Linked DNA regions of Astyanax mexicanus. The protein of the gene in region 1 binds, or shares a complex with, the protein of each later gene. Links are inferred from orthologs where the notes say so. Each region holds a gene or a part of one and is shown in the gene's direction. Other genes may lie near its edges.

The links. The genes of interacting proteins can lie anywhere in the genome.
Region 2: the proteins of ormdl3 (region 1) and sptssa are in contact, whole or in part, in a cryo-EM structure (PDB 7CQI), measured with the Homo sapiens proteins. The link is inferred for Astyanax mexicanus from reciprocal best matches to the Homo sapiens genes ORMDL3 and SPTSSA. Residues at the interface, in NP_001307730.1 of Homo sapiens: Val36, Leu38, Ser39, Ile40, Pro41, Phe42, Ser44; in NP_612145.2 of Homo sapiens: Ile44, Tyr50, Thr51, Val54, Phe55.

What each region holds. Positions count from the first base shown.
Region 1 is NC_064422.1:44,018,697-44,029,911, forward strand, and holds the start of ormdl3 (ORM1-like protein 3), read left to right. Parts: upstream 1-7,255; 5' UTR 7,256-7,264; intron 7,265-11,215. Other genes in the region: wnt3 (proto-oncogene Wnt-3), read right to left, coding at 7,014-7,255. UniProt on the Homo sapiens protein: Plays an essential role in the homeostatic regulation of sphingolipid de novo biosynthesis by modulating the activity of the serine palmitoyltransferase (SPT) in response to ceramide levels.
Region 2 is NC_064421.1:19,105,868-19,116,817, forward strand, and holds sptssa (serine palmitoyltransferase small subunit A), read left to right. Parts: upstream 1-6,377; 5' UTR 6,378-6,484; coding exon 6,485-6,587; intron 6,588-9,319; coding exon 9,320-9,423; 3' UTR 9,424-10,074; downstream 10,075-10,950. Other genes in the region: E2F-associated phosphoprotein, read left to right, coding at 1,192-1,259, 2,427-2,611, 2,705-2,818, 2,911-3,025, 3,133-3,258, 4,159-4,459. UniProt on the Homo sapiens protein: Component of the serine palmitoyltransferase multisubunit enzyme (SPT) that catalyzes the initial and rate-limiting step in sphingolipid biosynthesis by condensing L-serine and activated acyl-CoA (most commonly palmitoyl-CoA) to form long-chain bases.

The sequences.
Region 1 (11,215 bases):
TAGCGTGAACTACTGAAAGATGCTTGCTGAACCGTCAACACAAATTTCAATATTTCACTCCTCTGCATTCAGAGAACATTAGTAAGAAACTCTCTCTTTTTTTTACCCAATAAAAAATATAAAAGATGAGTACAAAATCAGATAGGCATAAATTCTTTTTAATTAAAACATTTTTTTAAACGTATTTATTTTTTTAGAAGCTGTCCATGACCCGCCCAGAGCCTGCCCATGACCAACTTCTCAAGTCTCCCAGATATCGCGGGAGTCTATCGCATATCAGTAGCAGATCAATGATGCCCATTGACCTGTTTCTGGCCTGTTTCTTTGTGAGTCAGACAATCAGTTTATATTGTGGACGGGCAGTGTTTTTTTTCTTCTACTGGACTGGATGCATTCAGGAGCATCGTGGCTCCTATCAAAACTGTCTGGTAAAAGTGAAAAACTATAGAAGTCTTGCTCGCTGTACAGTTTGTAATAGTGATTTCAGCATTGATCACAGTGGACTAAAAGATTGCAAAAGTTAATGTGACTATACAGTGGCTTGCAAAAGTATTCATACCCCTTTAACTTTTTTCACATTTTGTCACCTTACAACCACAATGTTAAATGCATTTTATTGAGATTTTAAGTGATAGACGAACACAAAGTATTGCATAGGGATGAAGTGGAACGAGAATAATGCATGGTTTTAAAACATTTTATCAAATAAAAAACTAAAAAAGTATTTAGCCCCCCTATATCACCCATATCAAGCCAGGTTGGATGGAGAGCGTCTGTGAACAACAGTTTTCATGTCTCTCCACAGAAGACTCAAGAATTCAAGGAGATTTTATTGTCATTCGCATCACATGTGGTACATGAGGTGGAACGAAATTGTGATCACACGATCCAGTTTACACCCAAGAGCTGTTATTAAAATAGATAATATAGATAAAATAAAGAATACAATAAAAAAGAGAATATACAAAATAGATAAGATAAGATCAGTGGGATTTAGGACTGGATCGTTTTAACACATGAATATTCTTTGATCTAAATCATTGCACTGTAGCTCTGTAGTGCTGTATGTTTAGGGTCATTGTCTTGCTGGAAGGTCTCAAGTCTTTTGTTGCCTTCAGCAGGTTTTTGTCCAGGATTGTCTTGTATTTATCTCCATCCATTTTCCTATTAACTCTGACCAGCTTCCCACATCTGTCCCTGCTGAAGAAAAACAGGTCTACAGCATGATGCCACCACCACCATGCTTCACAGTGGGGTGATGTGTGTAGAGGGTGATGAGCAGTGTTTGTTTTCCTCCCCATATAGCGCTTCGCATTAAGGCCAGAGTTCAAGTTCAACATTGGTCTCATCTGACCAGAGAACCTTCTTTCATATGTTTGCAGCAACTGCTTACTGCAATTCATATGTTTCTTTTAACAATGATTTCTTTTTGACACTTCTCCATAAAAGGCCATATTTGTGGAGCGCATGACTTATGATAGTTGTTCTGTATACAGATTCTCCAACCTGAGCTGTGGATTTCTGCAGCTACTCCAGAGTGACCATGGGCCTCTTGGCTGCTTCTCTGACCTATGCTCTCCTCGATACCCTGGGGGTACCCCCTCACTGTACCAGCACAACACACATTAACACCTTATACACCACCACCATGCTAATCAGTGCTAATCAGAGCAGTGCTGAGAATACCCCCCCCTATCTATCCTGTTGAGTCTACTGCTGCCTGATCACACATGTACATACACACACTCTGCAACAGACATTCCAGCTCCTCCGACCTCCCATCCTGAGAACATTTGTGCTTCTCCTAAGGGTTGCCAGATCTCAGCCTGGTTTGATTAGTTATAGAGTTTGTTAGTTATAGAGAGAGACTGGAACCCTGTAAGGTTAGCTGTAGTTCTCCCTCACGCCAGCACACACAGAACTGCAATTCGTACCGGGAAGAAAGAAAGAAATGTACAGAGCGTTCCAGAAGTGTTTTTCTTTCTTTGCGAGAGGGATTTTTCTCAGAGTAACAAACACGTTGCATCAGTTTGCGTCAGTGTTTACTACGCTCTCTCTCACGCATTCTTCGGCCACACGCAGCGCGAGTCTCTGCACGGTTGCGTAAGATAGGCTTAAGAAAAAAAGGTGAGGTGAGAAGCGATGGTTTTTCATTGACCTGGCTGAGAGTGTGACTCAGGTGGATGTTGTCATTCTGGGGAGGAACTGCTGAGTCATTCATTTTACAACTTTACATACTTAAAATCCATTGAAAAAAGTTAGAATTTTTACTAGGGATGGGCAATAAGGCCCTAAAATGTGTCACAATATTTCAGGGTATTTTTGCGATAATGATATTTATGTTGGTATGACAAAACATGGTATTTAAAACAATAATAATAATTTAAAGAATGTACTACTGCAAGTTTATAAATGATTAGTTTGTAAATATTAACTCACCAAATCAGTGTAACAATAAAAATGTATAGTGCAGCATCTCCTATTTTGATAAACATTTCCGTTTCAACATCAATGTAAATGTGCCAGAGTTAGCTAAAAAGCTTATTTTCATCTGTATTCCCTGGGGCATCTAAACGGCAAACATACAATTACATGTAAATATATTAAATAGCTTTCAAGTATATTGTGATATCACTATAAGGAGTTATATCATGTCAGAATATTTGGTTATACTATTGCGTACGATACGATATGGTACATCTCCTACATGGTACTATAATTTTTGATTGTAGTTTTGATTTTTGATTGTTTAAGAAAACATTACAAAACATTACAAAAGCAGCACCAGTAGTAAAGCAGCATAAAGTTATCCAAAAGCAGTGTGTAAGACTGGTGGAGGAGAACATGATGCCAAGATGCATGAAAAAAACTGTGATTAAAAACCATCAGGGTAATTCCACCAAATATTGATTTATTTCTGAACTTCTGAACTTTATGAATATGAACTTGTTTTCTTTGCATTATTTGAGGTCTGAAAGTTCTGCATCTTTTTTGTTATTTCAGCCATTTCTCATTTTCTGTAAATAAATGCTCTAAATTACAATATTTTTATTTGGAATTTGGGAGAAATGTTGTCTGTAGTTTATAGAATAAAACTAATGTGGTCTCTTTTTTTCCAAAGCTGTATATGTTAGCTAAACTAAGTGCCATCTCAAAGATTTGTTAGACATATTTATTTAAAAAGCGCAGTAAATTTTTATTCCCCTAAACAATTTTTAACAAATATTTTTGGCCACATTTTTGGCACCTCTAGTCTGTGTAATATTACCTATCCTAAAAGGTGAAAGGTGAGGTGAGAGGTCAGGTTTATTAACCTGGCTGGGAGTGTGACTCAGGATGTCGTCAGGTGATTTTTTTTCCTCCTCATCATGCTGTCATACTGGGAAGGAACTGCTGAGTCATTCATTTCAACACTTTTTTAAAAAATTTAGTTTTTTTTTCTTCTGAAAATTCTTAAGGTGCTCAGCTTTTCTTGTCTTGTTTTATGTTTTACATAAAGCCTGAATTAATTTGAGAACTTGTCGCCGTTATAATAAACCACCACAATAAGTACACATATTTTACAGTATTCCTAATAATCACAACTCCACAGCGCTGTCGTTATGTTATTAAGATACATTAATGTTAATAGATTTTTATAAGTTTCTCTGGTCATAAATCTTACCTGCGGAGAGTTTCTGTAAAAATGTAAGTAATTTTCTTCTGTATTTCCACTTAATGCTACCTTGTGTTTATCAAACTAGTACATTTAACACTGTTTTAAGTTGTTTTCCAGTGTTGTTTCAGCCTGTACTCTATTTTAAAGTAAGACCTGACTGGCTGAATCTACTGTTAGCTTAGTGGGTTAGCCAAATCACCGGGGAAGCTAATCCCCCTTTAGCCGGGTTTACTAGCCTTACATGCGGCCGGTGCACTAAACTTTGCTTATTGTTGTATCAAATCTGAACTAGTGGGTCTGGGTAAATTTCACACTTTTACAGAAATTTATGAAACATGTTATATTTCTGTTTTCTATAACTAAAATGTCAGTATATATGTATAGTATTGTTAAAAACGAAGGCTTTCAAAGCCTCATTAATGTTCTGGATCATATTTTACCCACACATAAACATTTGAGTAAAGTGGACATAACAAACCTGTATAGAGACGTGAAGCACGGTGTCGCAATTAACTAAGCTACATTAAATTATATTAAAAGAATAATTGAAATAAAAACTGTTGTGTTTATATAAGTCGATATAAAATAAACACTAATTGTGTTTCTTGTATAATTACAACATTTCATATTTAAAGTACAGTTTTTATTGTAACAGAAATGTACCTAAATTAATCGATTTTGAATCAAATAACGTACAGCAGCGTCATGCTGCAAAATCACATTATGAAGCTTTTTTAATTTAAGCGAAGATTACTTTATTATCACTTATATAAACCGAGTTCATGCAAAGTGACCATGCCAATAGATTTTTATTGTAGCCTACTTTATATATTTGCATCAATAATTGATGAAATTACTGTAGAAACGATAGGGTCCCCATGATATTTATCATCATATCACACAGCACTAGTGACAAGCCTACTTGTGAATCAGAATCGAATCGAACTGGGAAATCAGTGACGATACCCACCCCTACTCTTAATGTGTGTTTTACGTTTTGTATGTATGTTCTGTTGTTGTTTTATTCTAAGGGGACACAACACACACACACCGCTTCACTGCTCTTTTCTCCTGATGTTTGTGTGTTTGGGCACACACCTCTCAGGGTGGGAGGCCAGAATGAGGCCCGGTTGGTTCTGGCAGGCCCAGCTGGGTTGACTACAACAGAGTGCTGTGAGCTGAGGGCCCCAGGAGCTCTGGCCCCGAGCCAAACGGAGCGCTGCTCCCGCTACCTGCTGGGCCCATGAATCCGCCTTTGTCTCTCTGGTGTCACACTGTATTACCCGCACAAAAGGGCCCGGCACCCCCACACCCCCACAGCCCAGCTTAGCTCTGCCCAGAGCCGGCCTGGCATTCCCAACAGGAGCACCCCCCCATTTATCCCAGCAGCGACATGCACACACCAACCATGAACCCTGGAGCCTTTCTTTTTCCTTCTCACCCCGGGTTGGATTGTTTCTTAAATAAACCCTCAATATATTGAAAACCACTGGCTTCCCTGTATCTTCCTCTCTCTCTCCTTCACTCTCTCTCTCTCTCTCTGACCTCTCCCCCTCTTCACCATGGCCAACCTCTCTCCTCTGCCCATCACTGCACCCCCTTCCTGATGGGGAAGGTTGGGAGATTCCCTTTCAGCCCGTTTTCATGACACAGTCAAAAGGGCGTGTGAATGGGGCGTTCGTGGGAGCCGGGCTGTAAGAGGCACACAGAGATGGCTCATACTGGCCTTCACGCACAGTAGGGGTTGAGCGGAACCCCCCAACACCCCCCATCTCAGCCCTTTTCTATTGCTTGTAATCTCATTTGGCCTCCCCATCTCTCTCTCTCTCTCTCTCTCTCTCTCTCTTTTTCTCTCTCTCATTCACTCACTAACACTAACACTCGCGGCCAGGCTAGCGCTGCTCTCCATCAGGGGCTGCTCATCTTCACCCTCGGGGATCTGGGGATCTGCCGCAGAGGGAGATAAGGAGATAAGGAGATAGGCCACCTCCACTATCTGTCGCTCAGCAGAGTTTCTGCTCATTTAGATCACCCATTGTCTTCTTCACTGTCTTTTGTTTAAAAGAAATGCAGGAATAAAGGCAGAGGAATAAACATAATCGCCAATTTCACACTGTGAGTGTTATTAAAGCATGGCGGTGGAGTTTTTTCAGCAGATATCCGTTACGTCTGCACAATTTTTGGTTGCTTTTGTCTGTGATATACTAAGGGGTGTAACCTCATTATGAACCCAAGGGTTCGGTACATTTTTGTTATGTTTTCGGTACGTTTTTTTTAGTAGGGCTGCACAATATGGGAAAAATGCGATTTCATTTTCCAGCAGGACTTGGCACACTGCCCACACTGCCAAAAGTACCATTTGGTCTTATTTAATATTCCAATTTTCTGAGGCACTGATTTTTGGGTTTTCATTGGCCTTAAGCCATAATCATCAACGATTAACTAAAATAACCGCTAAAAATAGATCACTCTGTGTTTAATACATCTATATAATACAGCTCTGGAAAAAAATATAATCAAGAGGAAGATGTATGATCAAAAGCCTTTAAAACAATCTGAACTGCTTGAATTTTTGCACCAGGAGTAAAGACAAAGTTATCCAAAAGCAGTGTGTAAGACTGGTGGAGGAGAACATGATGCCAAGATGCATGAAAACTGTGATTAAAAACCAGGGTTATTCCACCAAATATTGATTTCTGAACTTTATGAATATGAACTTGTTTTATTTGCAGGTCTGAAAGCTCTGCATCATTTTTTGTTATTTCGGCCATTTCTCATTTTCTGTAAATAAATGCTCTAAATGACAATATTTTTATTTGGAATTTGGGAGAAATGTTGTCTGTAGTTTATAGAATAAAACAACAATGTTCATTTTACTCAAATATAAACCTATAAATAGCAAAATCAGAGAAACTGATTCAGAAACTGAAGTGGTTTCCTAATTTTTTCCAGAGCTGTATGAGAGTTTCAGATTTTGGACTGAATTACTAAAATAAAGTAACTATATTAAGGATATTCTAATTTTTTGATATTGACTTTATTGTTATAAAGTAACTGACATAAAATAGTAGTCATTGGGACAGGCCTGCTCTAAACCATGTGTTAAACCCTCAGCATCTTCTGTATTAGTGGTGGGTTCTTGGGGAACAACCATTCTAAATGATGCATTTTATTCATTATATTATTATTAATTATTAATTATTCTAAAACCAGTGTTTCCGTAAGTGTATTCTGTTCTGATTGTATCTCAAGAGCTGATAAAGCCATTAGCTACCTGAGCACACCTTCAAAGTAATATTCCAAAGCAAACACATAGCAGAAAAGTGATTGACATTCTGTATTTAATGTATTTTACCTTTGTCCAGCACAGGACCGAAGATGGCCAGGTTGTCCTTTATGGTGGTGCAGTTCCATCTGCGGCCACGGAACTGATGCTGGCACTCCTGGATGCCCAGTTTGACGCCCTCGGCCACGCTGGGCATGATCTCGATGTAGTTGCGGCAGAAGCGCAGCTGCTTGGGAACCAGGCCAGGAATGGATCCGCAGAGGATGGGCTGGGAGCCCAGGGATGAGTACTGCTGCCCCAGAGCCAGGGACCTGCAACAGGTAACGGGAGAACATGCATCAGAAAAACTACCCATTACATTAGAGAGGGTGGAAGTGTGTACAGCGTGTAAGATGTACAGCATGTTACAACACAAGTACAGTATAGTACAGTTTTTCAGTCGATACGTAGAGGAAAAGTAAATGCAGTCAAGAGACAATGTGTAGTCTTAGAATTTTCCTATTGTTTCAACACTTTGATTTCTTTTGTTTTAGAAATATGAATTTTAGTAAATGAGAGAGAATAGAGGGACTGTGTAGAAGAATCCATTGGGGTCTTCAAGGAACCATCAACAATTTTCTTCCAAAAACCTTTTCTTGAAAGAAACTCTTGCATGGCATGCATTTTTTTTTATTTCTCTTTGCTATTTGGGCTAATTGGCACTTTATTAGTGTAAAAACAAAGAAATGTCTTTTTACATAATATAGTTTCTGTATGTCCACATATGAGGACTTTAGTTTTATATTTCTATAGAACACAATGAAGTTTGTAGTTAGTAATGATGTGCAAAACATTTATTTTGTGCCTGAGTGCAAAATATAAGTAGAAATTTGGCTCATTTGAAGATTCAACTTCAAAACAAAGACATAAAGTAAATAGCATAAACTTTTACTGTATTTACTGTTTATTTAAATTTCTGAAGAAAATCATACTGTAATGTGTAAAATTCTTTTGCCACCACTAAGTGACAGTATAATGGCCTCTTAAGAGGACACCAGGCCCTTGTAGAGCAACATTTTAGAGTTGTGCTAGGACGTTAAAGCATTTTTAGGGGCTCCCCCACACTGTCAAGAGGGGTTATATAATTGTTCTGTAAAATTCTGTTTACACTAGTTAAAAGTAAAAAAGGTGTGTAACTATAGGTTTAAATAGGATCTTCAGTGGATTTGGTGTTTTACAGCAGTGTTTCTCAACCAGGGTGCCGCCTGGCTTCATCGGGGGTGCCGTCAAAATATTGCGCTTCACGTGCATATTTCCTTTCCAGAGTCAGCTCGTGTCGGGGTGTGTCCCAATTCACAGGCAGCATACTCTGAAGGATGCGACCCACAGAGGCGGTGTATTACTGCGCAGCTGTGACGCAATCTGTCTTCGAATACAGCCTCTGAAGGATGCAGCCCCTAAATTGGGACACACTGTAAAGTTTTTGTCCCCCCACGCGATGCACGCGCTATTTTATTTCATATTCCGCCAGCAACACCCCTCGTTCTCACCTGAAGTACTGCGCCAGCACCTCCCCCCCCGTCCGTAAACTGGGGTGCCTTGACATCTCGCATATATTTAAAGGGTGCCGTGATAGAAAAAAGGTTGAGAAACGCTGTTTTACAGAGATTCTAAGACTCGGTCAGTGGCTGAACTGCATATACTAATCATATATGACAGTAACATATGACACTGCAAAGACTGTTATTAGTGTAAAAAATGTCTTTATTTTAAAACATTTCTAACTGTTGTTCATCTCGCTGCCTCCTGGTGTTGCAGTGCTGTTAGTCAATCAGAGGCGATATGTTTGCATGTGTGAATATTCATGAGCAAGAGCCGAAATCCTATCATTTCTCCCCTCCACCCACTCCTCCACCGGACTAAAGCAGCGTTATACCGGATCACCGGAGCACAACTAGACATTTTAGAATGAATTAAAAAAATTAAGGAATGAGACAAAAAAAACACTAAAACCACCTAATTCCTCAATGTGGATAAAATAACTCTATTCTTATGTTCCATCTGAAAAGATTATTTTTAATTTATGCAGTTTGGGACAATTCGTCACTTTTATGTTATCTTCCAACCATTACAAATTGAGAATTAATATATGAGGTAATTAATGACCTTGATGTGCTTGTACAAAGTAATGCTGTCCTTCACCGTTTTTATAAATATGCATACCTTGTGTTTATTATATAACATATTCACATTTGTTAACTAACACCTTTATTAATTAAAGTATTTATCTTTTTGTTAAGTAAACATATTGATAAAAAACAGTTACTCAAGGAAAGTATACTTTAACAGTGTATAATGGCCTTATACACTTAATGAACATTACATTTCATTACATTACATTACATTTGGCAGATGCTTTTGTCCAAAGCGACTTACAATAATGAAGTACAAAAGTAATAGAAGTTAAAGGTAGAAACAAGCAGGCCTCCCCACAATACACAGTGTCTGTTTACCAAGAAAAATGAGACTGATCCAGATAAATAGCGTATGTGTTTGTTTGTGTTCTTCACTGGCTTTAAGAACACAGTCATTAATCGAGTTAGACCCCATTAATCTGACTGTAATATTATAACCATCCTACATGCAGCAGTGTTGATGTGTTGATATTAGAGCATCGTTTCATCCTCAGATGTTTATTTGTAGTTATTTAACTAAACTGTTTTTGTTCTTCGCTGTCTTTCTGAACTTGTATTAATTGGCTGAGTCTCACATTTACTTAACTTTCACTGAGGTGTAACCTTTGATACCTGAGATCTGAGTCAGACTCTTGGCTCGCTGCCTTCCGCTGCCTTGTGGTGTGCAGGACTGTGGTGTTTAAGTGTGAATGCTTGTGCGCAGTAGCTGACTGATAGCTGACGAAAGGCATTCCAGAGAGCGAGCGCTGCTCCGTGCGGAGCATCTGCCTAAACACGGCCTCGGTACCACCTCACCAAAACAGCCGTGCCAGAAACCATTACATTTCATTCACATAATTCATTTTAATTGCCTTCTTTTTCACCCGAATGTAAGAACAAAGAAAGAGAAATGCTATGACATTCACCATGCCTGTGTTTTAACATGTTTGCTGTTATGACAGGCTCAAACACAGCTGAACTCCCATCCTCTAAGCAGTAGTTCTGCTTAGTTTATTCAATATTATATGTCAAATAAACTCATTTACTTTCTCCGTCTCTTCCTCTCACCCCTTTCTGGAAAGGTTAATCAAATATTAGATCATATTAAGTGCTTTAAAAGTGTGTGTGGGAGGACAGTTACAGCTACCTTTAATCCTCTCTCTAAAATCTCATTCTGAGCTCACCATGCTGCACAGAACTCACTTCCAACTAGTTGTGACCTTAGGTTTCTATTAGGGCTGTCAACATAAAAGCGTAATACACATGATTGATTGATTGATTGATTGATTGATCAGTAACATGCTATTGTTTTTCAACCCATCTAACAAATATACTTCTTTTTAATTGAGCTAAACTGCTGACAAAACACGCAATTTATTTTGATATTGTAGCCAGATAATATACTGCTATAAACAAACGCTGTCTCTGCTGCTCCATGCTGTTTACACACTGAGTGCACAGTATGTGCAGCGTTCACAAACTCATCAAATAATCCAGATTATAGAAACTTTCCCAACTACAGGTGTGAAAACGCTCTTTTTATACTTAGCTAATTAAGATCTAATTCAAAAATCCTTACAACCAAGCTGAGATGTTTAAAATAAAGTAAAAAAAGTTTCCTTTATCCAGTTTATCATGCATTATTTATTCCATCTCCTCTTAAACATACAAGAATATGTTTACATTCAATCTTTCAAATACAGTTATGTAGCCACTATAAAATCTTGTCTTAAGAATAAGTGCGGTTAAACGCAGAATATTTTTGTAATTAATCTGTTTAATATTTTTAACCGATTGACACCTCTGACTGGTTGTTCCATAGTGACTAAGTTGCTGTCACTCGTTCAAATGCAAGGTCATGCTGCTTTCCCATCAGCAGCCTGAGTCCGAGAGAGCACAATTGCCCATGCTCGATTTGGATGGGAAGATGTTGGCTTTTTTCCTAAATCACCAAATCCTAGGGTTTTAAAATTGCTGGCCCATTGCTGACACTGATGTGCTGATGTGTCAACTGCACACAGTCAGTGAATGTCTATTTTCTGATCTATTTTCATACATAAGGAGCACTGGATTATAAGGCGTAGTAAGGAACAGGTGTGTCGCCATGTTTTCCTTCAA
Region 2 (10,950 bases), on another chromosome or scaffold:
CCTTGTACATGTTGTATTAGTTTTCACTGTATTGCTATGGATCATCCTAATCTGATCTTTTTTTTTGTATAATTTTTTAGCAAAAATTAATACATTTCTCTTTTCATTCCTGACAGATAATGCATCATTATGTTTGCCTTAATATGTAGACTAATCAGATATTGTAAAAATCATATATATGAAGACATTTCCTCCCCTTCTCCCAGCTTTTTAAGTGCACTGTATATGAATGTGTTTTTTCACAGTATGTGACCAAAGCTTCCATTTATTATGATGGAGGAATGCTGACATAAAACAGTTAAATGATGATAAAATGACAATGAACATAACAAAAATAAATAACACTGTTTACCTTATTTCATGTTCATTTCATGTGAGTTGGAAATAAGTGTAGCATGAAGAACATATTTTTTAACACCTCTGGTAGATTAAGAGGCTCTGCCCAATATATATGCTTGATGGTATTATTAGATAATTGAATGCATTAATTATATTTGTGGTAATACATGTATTTGTTACATATTTATTAATATTTTAATGTAAAGACTTGGCACAGCTAGAGGGCAAGGAAGACGAGCTTACATTTTTAAACCCTGCATCCATTACAATGGGCATCATGTATTTGCTTTGTTGCACATAACACTATTTAAGAGCTGGTTGTTATTCATCAGAATAGACCATGAACCAGCCAATCAACAAATTTATAAACCAATAAAACAGTAACTTGGCCCCGCCCACTTTGCTAGAAAAACAGTAGTACTTAAGCTTAATTAATAGAGGCTGTTTTTACTAGTTTAATGTAAAAATCTAATTTAGAACACTTATTCATGTTTTTGAAATTAAAAAGTCAATATGAAATAGAAAATATCACACAGGCTTGCAATACAATGGCAATAAAAAATTACATATTTTAGTTTATTGGATTTATTTGCTGTATATATTTTATTATAGAATATTAGTGTTTTCTTTTGTGTGCATTACAGACAGAAAACAGCATTCCTACATTTTATTTCTGTCACTGGAGATAATTCAGGTCTGAAAGGGTTAATACTCAGAAAGCTTTTATTTTGAAATGTCACGTGGAAGAGTCTTGCTCCGGAAAGACACAGCGCTGCTCTCTCGCCTGTTTGTGCTTTTATTGCGTTCCTGTGTGTTTATTTGTTTATTTCCATTTTCTGGATTGAGAAAAAAATGAACCGAAAAGATGAATATGATTCTTACGAGATTGAGGAGCCGAGTGATGAAGAAAGAGCAGTCAGGTAATCACTAATCCGGAGACGCGCTGTTACCGTAAACAAGCAGCGCGTGTTTCTAAAGGTTTACATCTGAGTGCACACTGAGGAGAACAGTAAATCTGTAATAGACACTTTAAATTTATGTATGTTTATTAAAGTAAACTGTGTGTATAATCTCAGCAGAAAGGCGTTTACTCTGCAGCACCCACTGATTTCACTTAAAGGAACTTGTAACACACCTGGGTCTGTAGTTCAGATCTGAACTCTGCACTTTACCAGTATTTTACTTTCATTTTTTCACATATATCTAAGATAGTCAAAAATACTGATTAAAACGTTTTCGTACCAACTCTCTTCAAAGTAAAACACAGCACATACATAGTTTTACCCATGGCTAGATATGAATCACTCAAAAGAATTAACGTGACATTGATCATGCTAAATGTTAATTAAGATAATATACTGATTATTTTAATCGACAATGTCACAATACACTATAGGACAAATAATCTCCATATCCTTTAACCTGTTACATTTTTTATTGTAATTATATTTAAAATCCAGCTACACTACATGCATCTAAAAATCTCAAAAATGATGAGTTGAAAAAGTTACTTTATTTCAGTAATAGAGTTCAAAATGTGAACGTCATATATTATATAAATGTATTACACACAGAGAGTCTCAGAAAATGTAAATATTTTAAAGACTTATGTAAAGACTGATTAGTACTTTTGGCAGTGTGGGCAGTGTGCCAAGTCCTGCTGGAAAATGAAATCTGCATTTGCATAAAAGTTGACCGCAGAGGGAAGCAAGAAGTGCTGTCTTAATATAACACAGTGGACCAACATCAGCAGATAACATGGCTCTCCAACCCATCACTGATCATCAGTTAATGTTGCATTTCATTTGGAAATCAAGGGACCAGAGTCTGGAGGAAGAGTGAAGAGACACACAGTCCAAACTGCTTGAGGTCTAGTGTGAAGTTTCCACAATCAGTGATGGTTTGGAGAGCTATATCATTCATTCAACTCCATTACACAGTTTCTAAAGGGCCCAGAGTGATATCTGCCAAAATGTGCTCCTTTTTTAAGAAGCTTTAGGCCTATAATTGAATCTGACATGGTGCTTTTATAACCTAAAAAAATAAAGCAGCGTGCTTACCTTTTGTTTGAATATATTGTCCTTTAGCTCCGAAGATGAGCTCGACATTCTTCTTAATGGAACTCCAGATCAGAAGAAGAAGCTCATCCGAGAGTATTTGACGGGGGAGAGTGAGTCATCCAGTGGTGATGAGTTTGAGAAAGAGATGGAGGCAGAGCTGAGCAGCACAATGAAATCCATGGAGGGCAACTGGACCTTTCCATCTTCTCAAGGTTATCATTACAACTTTCACTATACAAACTGTGGAATACTGATGTGTGTGATGTGCTCACAGACTAATAGGAATGTGTTGTTTTCAACTGTAGGCGAGGCCTCTCAGACTGGTGACAATGCTTCAACACAAAACACGACCAGAACACAACCTCCGCAGTACGATAACATATACTTTGATTCAGATTCAGATGAGGATGCTTTGCCCGGTAAGGTTGCCAGGAATATGCAAACAACAGGGCGATGTGATATAATTTACTTGCATGAGTGCTAATGAATGTCTGTTAAAATTCTGTTTCAGGTGTCTCCAAGAATCAGAGGAGAAAGCAGCGCACTGTACTTACCAATGATGAGTTATTATATGACCCAGATGAAGATGATCGGGATCAGGCGTGGGTAGATGCCAGGAGAAAAGAGTGAGTCATATAAAAGTAAACCAGAATTACTACAATAATCAAACACTGTAGTGACAGAAGCAGTACAGCTGTCTCGTGTTTTTGACGGTACTTTTTGGTGACTATAGGTACAGAAGCCACAGAAGGTTTAGATCATCTGCAGACAAAAGAAACAAATCCCACCCCCTCCCAAGCAGTGATGCTGTCCTCAACTGTCCTGCGTGTATGACTACGCTATGTCTAGACTGTCAGAGGTAAGAGGGCCATCACATAAATCTACATGTAGCTGCTCAATGTGGTTAGATCCCCAACAGAATTGTAGAATACTGTTGTGATTTTTTTTATAACTGAGGCTTATTGATATTATTGATAATTGATATAATTGATATTATTGATTATTGATAAGGCCAAGCCACATAAACATGCAAGTGTAAACACACCCACTTTGCATTTATCACAGATCCAGTCACTCAGACCACTTTAAGAGATGGTCTGAGACCAATTTCAGCTACAAATTAGAGCAGTGTAAACATATCTATTTCCCTAAGACATATTCAGCAACTGGAACCCCTTCCCATACAACAAAACTCTAGTATTAATTGCCACAATAAAATAATAAGCATATTCTGTCTCACACAACAATCAGATTTTAGTATAACTAGAGACACATTTGACTGCTAAGTGTAAATGTGTGTGGGTAAAATCAAAATATAATATCTGGATATAATCTATATACTAGTAACATGAAGTGACCAGGTGTACATTTTTATGAAACAGAATATCACATGTCCTATCAAACACAGCCCGTAAATGAAAGACATTAGACATTGTATTGTTGAAGACATTGTTAGACTATTTATTTTATTTATTTAATAGTTTATTTGACAGGGACAGTGTACATTAATTAACATTTACTGTAAATGCACCAGAATTAGCCTAAATGCTATTTTTCATCCTTTGTCATTGTAGACTATAGGAAATATCAAATAACTTGATTTGATTTAATATTGATGGATAATGTTAAGTCTGCTGAACATAGCTTTAACATGACATGTACCAATAGCCTGTTTGTTGTTCAAATTGTAAACTAACCATCAAGCCAGTTTGACAACCTAAATTGTATTGTAATTGTGTTGTCTTCTGTTTATACACAGACATGAGAAGTATAGAACGCAATACAGAGCCATGTTTGTGATGAACTGTACAGTGAGTAAAGATGAAGTCCTGAGGTATAAAGCAGCCAAACAGAAGAACCGACGCAAGAAGAAAAGCCATCAGGGGTCCACAGCTACAGAGAATGAGGCAGAGGCAGGTCTGACTGACTCCAGACTGAGTGGAATGGACGAGGAAGAGATTTATCATCCAGTCAAGTGTACAGAGTGTTCTACTGAAGTGGCAGTGTTTGATAAAGATGAGGTCTACCATTTCTTTAACATCCTAGCAAGCCATTGCTGAGTGGATGATGTGTGTGTGCTAAAAGACTCTGGCTGATGCCCCTTTTCCTAAAGTCACTGTATGGAGGGTAATATTGAAACACAGGTGAGAATGTGGGGATGTTTTAGAAGATCTCTGTACTTATGCACATTTATGTAAATTATCTGTAATTTTTGATTTAAGAAAAGTGGATTTCCTTTTTTTTTTTTTAATTTACAGATACATTTCATATAGTTTTACTTTGGTTTAAAAAAAGTAGAATCACCTATTCCAAACCATGATAAGCAAGAGGAAGTTTGTGTCTATTCTGGCATTATTTGAATAAATCTTTTTGGGGACTGCTATTTTAAAAAAAACGTTTTTTTTTGTTTTTTTTTATGGAAAATTACAGCTAGGGTTGGATTCAACTGTGAATCTGAACTCATGGATTATCAGCTAGCTGTTGATCTCTGTTTAAGGAAGCACTGGATTGTGCTGGACACATTACTTCGAGTTCAGATAAGAATTATTTATCTGAAAATCTTCCAGAATTAAAATAGTTCCCCAAGATCACTTTCACTTGTTGTATTATTAACTCATACTTGGTTTATGTATATTTTTGCCAAGGGAACTTTGTCTGTACTGTGATAAATTATTTAAATTTATATGTATGAAGTTATGAGCAGTACTAAGGGTTTTCTAGGAGGATATAATTAAATATTATTTAGATTTGCCCTATTTATGCACAGAAATGAATCAGAGAAACTAAACTTTATTAATTAGAGTTTTAATGTTTAAGTTTCTTTTATTTTTTGTTGCTATTAAAAACGTTTAATGGCTGCAGGGGGATTTATATTTACATGATCAATGCTAAATAGTTAAAATTAAAATTAAACATCTCAAAAACCTTCACATTTTAGATTGGCCGTTGACAGTCACGTGGGTGTACTATGCTTAGCGTCACCAAAGCGCAAGAATTATGGTAATTAGTGTTAATGTGAGCTGTAGTCAAATGTACTAGAACCAAAAATTATATAATATTTGGAGAATTTAAATAAATACAACTGGAGACACAGAAGAAAATTGAGGAAATAGCGCCTGCAGACGAGCTGAGAGAGGATACCAGTAACTCTACTTTGGATTAATAATCTTCTATTTACACTAGCTAGCTGAAATGCTAACTACCTCCGCTGCGTCCAGCCTGTGTTTACACCTGTGAACACGTCTAAAACCAGGCTTTAAACCCCCTATAACTATTTTCCATTTTAGCTGAAGCATTAAAACTCAGTCCACATACCCCAACAGTAAAGGTAAACTGACACCTGTGCGTAGCACTGCATACTTTATTGTTTTTTAAAACATCTGGATATGTGTGGACGGGCCTGAACAAATAACGTTACCCTGTGTTTGAGGGCTATTACTTGCCCTGCATGTATTTGTCCATACAGTTTGTCATAACCGTTTTTGGAGTTTCACACTTTAAGAACATTTTAAGTTACTTTGCACAGCAGGCTTTGCTTGTTTTACATGTTGCTCCTATTTCAATCAAGGGGCTACTAATATATTACACATTTTAGCTATAAACGTCTGCTTGTGTGGTGCTTAAAGAACACTTCAACTCAAGTCATTTGTACTTTTACTCAAGTCTGTGTCTAGTACTTTATACGGTAAATCTCTGTTGTGTACTAGCCTTTCTCATTCAAAATATTATAAAGGCAAAGCGAACAGATTTTTTTTATATAAAATTGTGCATTTCCTACCTTTATATGTTTTAAGAACTCCATAAGTATTTTTTCTAATTAATTATCTGTAAATATCTCATAGTAATAATATTTCTAATGTTTCTCCACCGTTTGTTTCTCTGCATTAAACCCGCTTCGCCGAACAGCCAATAACAAAGCCGCGTAGAGACAAATATGTAAATAAGGACTCGCACCCCACACCGAACAATCCAATCAGGTAACAGCAGCTCCGCGAGTCGCCGTGTCGTCATTTTCAATAATCCACGCTTTGTGAAGAAGGCGGAAGGGAGCGGAGGAGCTGAGACGGGAGAGGAGAGAACAGAACATGGCGATTGGAGATGCCTGGAAGCAGATCTCCTGGTTTTACTACCAGTACCTCCTAGTCACAGCGCTGTATATGCTGGAGCCGTGGGAGCGGACCGTCTTCAGTATCCTTTACCCGGTGTTTCAGTGTAGAGATGAGGGGGAGCGGGGTGTTAGCTATAGCTGTGTTACCTGCCTGCCTGTGTCCTGTGTAATAACCTCGTTAGCCCTTTAGCTACAGCTAGCAACAAGTGCATGTGTGAGATTTCACATTAACCTACTGTCAGTGGGTTAAAGTTGTTATATTACAGATAATCTAATAATAAGATAGAGCTGTTTGATTTCTATGTGTGGGATCTTTTACTGACTCGGGGTTTCATTGAATAACTACTGTATCAGCTGACCTCAGAGGTCTGAGCTGGCTGAGAAACTGGGCTAGCTGGATGGAGTGATTCATCAGTACAGTGGGTTATATAGTATCAGATTACTAGTCACCGGTACGCATGATTTACACTGTTTACACATATATTGTACGAGCACTGATGGGATAAACTGTTGCTAATCACTGTTATTGTTCTGTAAACTTCAAGGAAAATCTGTATATATGTTATTTTATTATTATTAGTAGTAGTAGTACAGTAACTGGCTGGTGGACAGATCTTTAAATCACTCTGTCCTTAAAGTGGTAGTATTTATGACTTGTAGATCACAAGATCTGATCCACGCAGCCCTGCGTCATCACGTCGTGCACGCCTCAAAACGGAAGAAGCGCGTTCGTATTTAATCTCACAATTAAAACTAACTAACTAAATTATGTAAAACAAGCCTTATATATGTACAATTTTAGCACCCATTGTGTATATGTAAATAGAGACGCTTTCATTGTCAGTATAAAATGTTTTGTTTTGTTCTGTCAGGCCACGCCTGTATTGGCGTGTGAGAGGAGTTGATGAGTGATATGGATTTGTGCTGTTGATGATTTTGACTTCAGATAGCGTGTGATTTAAACAGTACCAGTTACAATCAATGCGTTTTTTTCTTTCTTTTTAGGTTTTTAGTTTATTTCTTTTTTTCTTTTTTTTTTTGCATGACTGGGCTTTTATATAGGTTTGTGACTTACTATTAGGGGTACTTTTATATAAAACATTACAAAACTATTGGGTTTACTTTGTCCCACAAAATTGCATAATATATGAAGAAATCAGGCTTCATTAGCCGAAAAACAGCTGAAGAATGTAAATAATAGACCATAGAAAGAGATATGGCAACAACTTGGCACTTCTTCCTTTTTAAATAGTTCCATAAACACCATACATAGACCTAAAATACTGAATGTTTAAGTATTTAAAATATATATTTTTCAAAAGCTCTATTACACAAGTCAGACACACGTTTAATATCAATTTATATTATATTTTTCTGAAGCAATTACAGTATTAAAATCAGCCACGATCCCCTTTTCTCTCCAGTTAACAAATACATTCAGTTCATTGAGCAATAATATTACCTTTTAAGCTACAATGTTAATATATTTAAAAGGGTATAGTTCCTTTCTCATATTCAGTGTTTTAGAGGAGTTTTGTCTCTTGTGCTGAATAAGTGACTCTGCACTCAGGACTGATTTTGGTCTCATATGGGAACTTTTCTCTGAGCTGTGGATCGATTGTGCAATTCTATTGCTCTCGCTTCAGTCATTGCAGTACGTTAGCTTGTTATACTAACTGACTAGCTTTATCTTATGAGCTGTGTGCTTCTTTGGTGGTGCTGTTCTGCACTGTGTGCTTCTACACAGTGCTCCGCAGTGCCTCTAGCGGTATGGCAGTATGTAAAAAAAAATACATACCAGTTTTAAATTCTCTGTGGTATTCCGTATACAGTGCAGCACTACATTAAAGCTATACAGGATTGTAAACAAAAAAAAAGTTTTACACTGTAGATTCTTCTAAGTAGCCACATTTAAAGGAAGATCTGTGCACGCTTGGTATTTTCTCAGTGTCTTCAAGAGGGATAGTCACCTGGAATATATTTCTCAGCGTCTTGAAGGAGTTTCTGGAGGTGCTGAACAATAGTTGCTGCTTTTCCTTCACTCTGTGAAGCTCCAGCTCATCAGCTCTTTTTGTGTAGAAAAAAAATAAATACAGAAAAACATTAAATGAGAATGTGTGTCCAAACTTTTGGCTGGTACTGTATTTGTGTGAGGATTTATATTAAAATATACTGGTACAGTGTCATGATATACTTACGAGCAGAACACTGAATTAGGGAGTGTCTACTGTCTAGACCAGTGTTTCTGCATGATGATGGGAAGAGGGGGAAATGAAATGTGATCTTGTTTAATGTAATTTGCACTGCCTGTCGGTGCATGTTGATTTATACCTGTGAAGAGTTGATGTAGGATTCCAAACAACCACACATTCTCTTAGTTATATTCATAAATAATAATTAATTTGATTAGACACATGAACCAACAACCTACACTGTGAAACACAGTGGTGGGCTTTATACCCTTCTATCCCAAGTCTGGTATTAGGCATAGGATTTAACCTTAAAATGTTTATAAGAGGTGTTACCAAACATTTCGATATGTAGTATGTGAGGTTTTCTGAAATGAAATCAGTGCTCTTTAAGTTTCTCAGAGTAGGAATTCTGATTTAAGATCTGTTCTGCACTAGATCTGTTCCACACTATTTGGTCTGAGAAGCTTTCTGCATACAGTCTCTGAAATCTGCACAGAATATCAGAGGTTGTTTTTGTTTTCTTGTTTCTTTTTTTGGGGTTTGTAGTAAGCGTTTAGATTTACCATATTAAATACTGTAGGTCTCTTTACAAATTAAATATTTTCTTAACACAATGTCAGATTCCCTCTTGGTCTCTGTAGCAGCCATGGCCGTGTACACAGGCTACGTGTTCATGCCCCAACACATCATGGCCATTTTACACTACTTTGAAGTGGTCCAATGACAGACTGAGCTTCTGCCACATTTCAGGATGTCCATTGTTTCCCCCTGGCGGACAAAAAGAGGAATTTCCTTGCAGGATTGTTGCGCTGTACCTGTGGTCACTGGGAACATGAAGAGTTGGCCTGAGACAGTGGAGAAAGGACGATAAAGGATCATGAAGCAGTGGAGGCATTTGAATGGATCCATTGTAGACGTAATGTCTGTGGCTTCGTAGTCCCTTATAAGTGTGCGGTCTGTCAGACTCTAAGCACACATACTGCCCTGTAGTAAATGATGCTTCTTTTTATATAATGCTGACATTTTTATAATGCTTCAGTTTCCTTTGATGGCGGCGGCTTATTGAGATGGTAAATACTGTATTTTGTGATATTAAAATGTGTATATTTAATTGTATACATATTTGTAATGTTTTATAACAATTTATTTTGACTGTTGACAAGATTAATTTTGTTTTGACCACACTGCAGCAATGTGTAGATAGATTTTCTTTTTCTTATTCACCATCTGTATGACCTCTTGCTGAGAAATGCCTGTATATTAAATCTCATTGTTACTATTTTAAAACTAAACGAGTCTCTCAGGTGGTAATTCTGTGGCACCTTTCCCTGTGTATATAAATATGACCTTCAATAAATACCTCCTTCTCTTTAAAGTCTATGCACATTTTATTTGAACTTTAAACAGTCTTTACAAATGAAGAGTTGAAAGTAATGATACAATTGTAATAATCTGTACACAGAAATTACTGCATCAATTGTTGTTTGACTGATGACCTTTACAGAACAATATCTTTAAATCTTGTTTTGATGTACTTTGGGTTCAAAGAATTTCTGTATGTCAATAATCTTGTTTACACAAAAGGGACTTTCTATCATTCAAGGTCAAGACACCACAGTCCAAGTTCAGAAAAACACGTAGATAACACTGAAAGGTTAATGAAAGAGTAGGATTTACATTATAGGCAGCCAGCTTATAGTAGTAGATTACATGTAATTGCATTACATAGTCCGGACTGTTCCTCAACTCAACTGTAATTCTCAAAAGTTTTTTTTTTGGTTTATCTTTAACTGTAATTCGTTACATATACAGTGAAAACATAACAGACAAAAAAATGTTCCCTAATCCGATTATGTTTGTTTCTAAGTGACTGAGTAAGTATTTGTGTTCAAAGCTGCTGCTAATGTTTTGAAGCCATAATGGAGCTATTTGGGTCTAACAGCGCCCTCCGTGGGGGAAAAAGAATATATCTGTCAATTGTGCATTCCAGCGCCAAATAGGCTATTATCTTTTAGATAGAAAGAAATATTAAAAGGTAGAAAAATCAGTATTAAATCTGTGTAGATAGACTTGCTAGGTTTGCTGACTGCTGGATAGTATATTGCCAAAATCTTATTTTGGTTGCTAAACAAGTGTGCAGGTGTGTTTTTAACTAATATTTTAGAACCTATTAATCACATGCATATAACTAGTAAGCTAACTACATAGTTGACAGGGTTTTCTCTGTTTATTTGTTTGTTTTTTACATTTA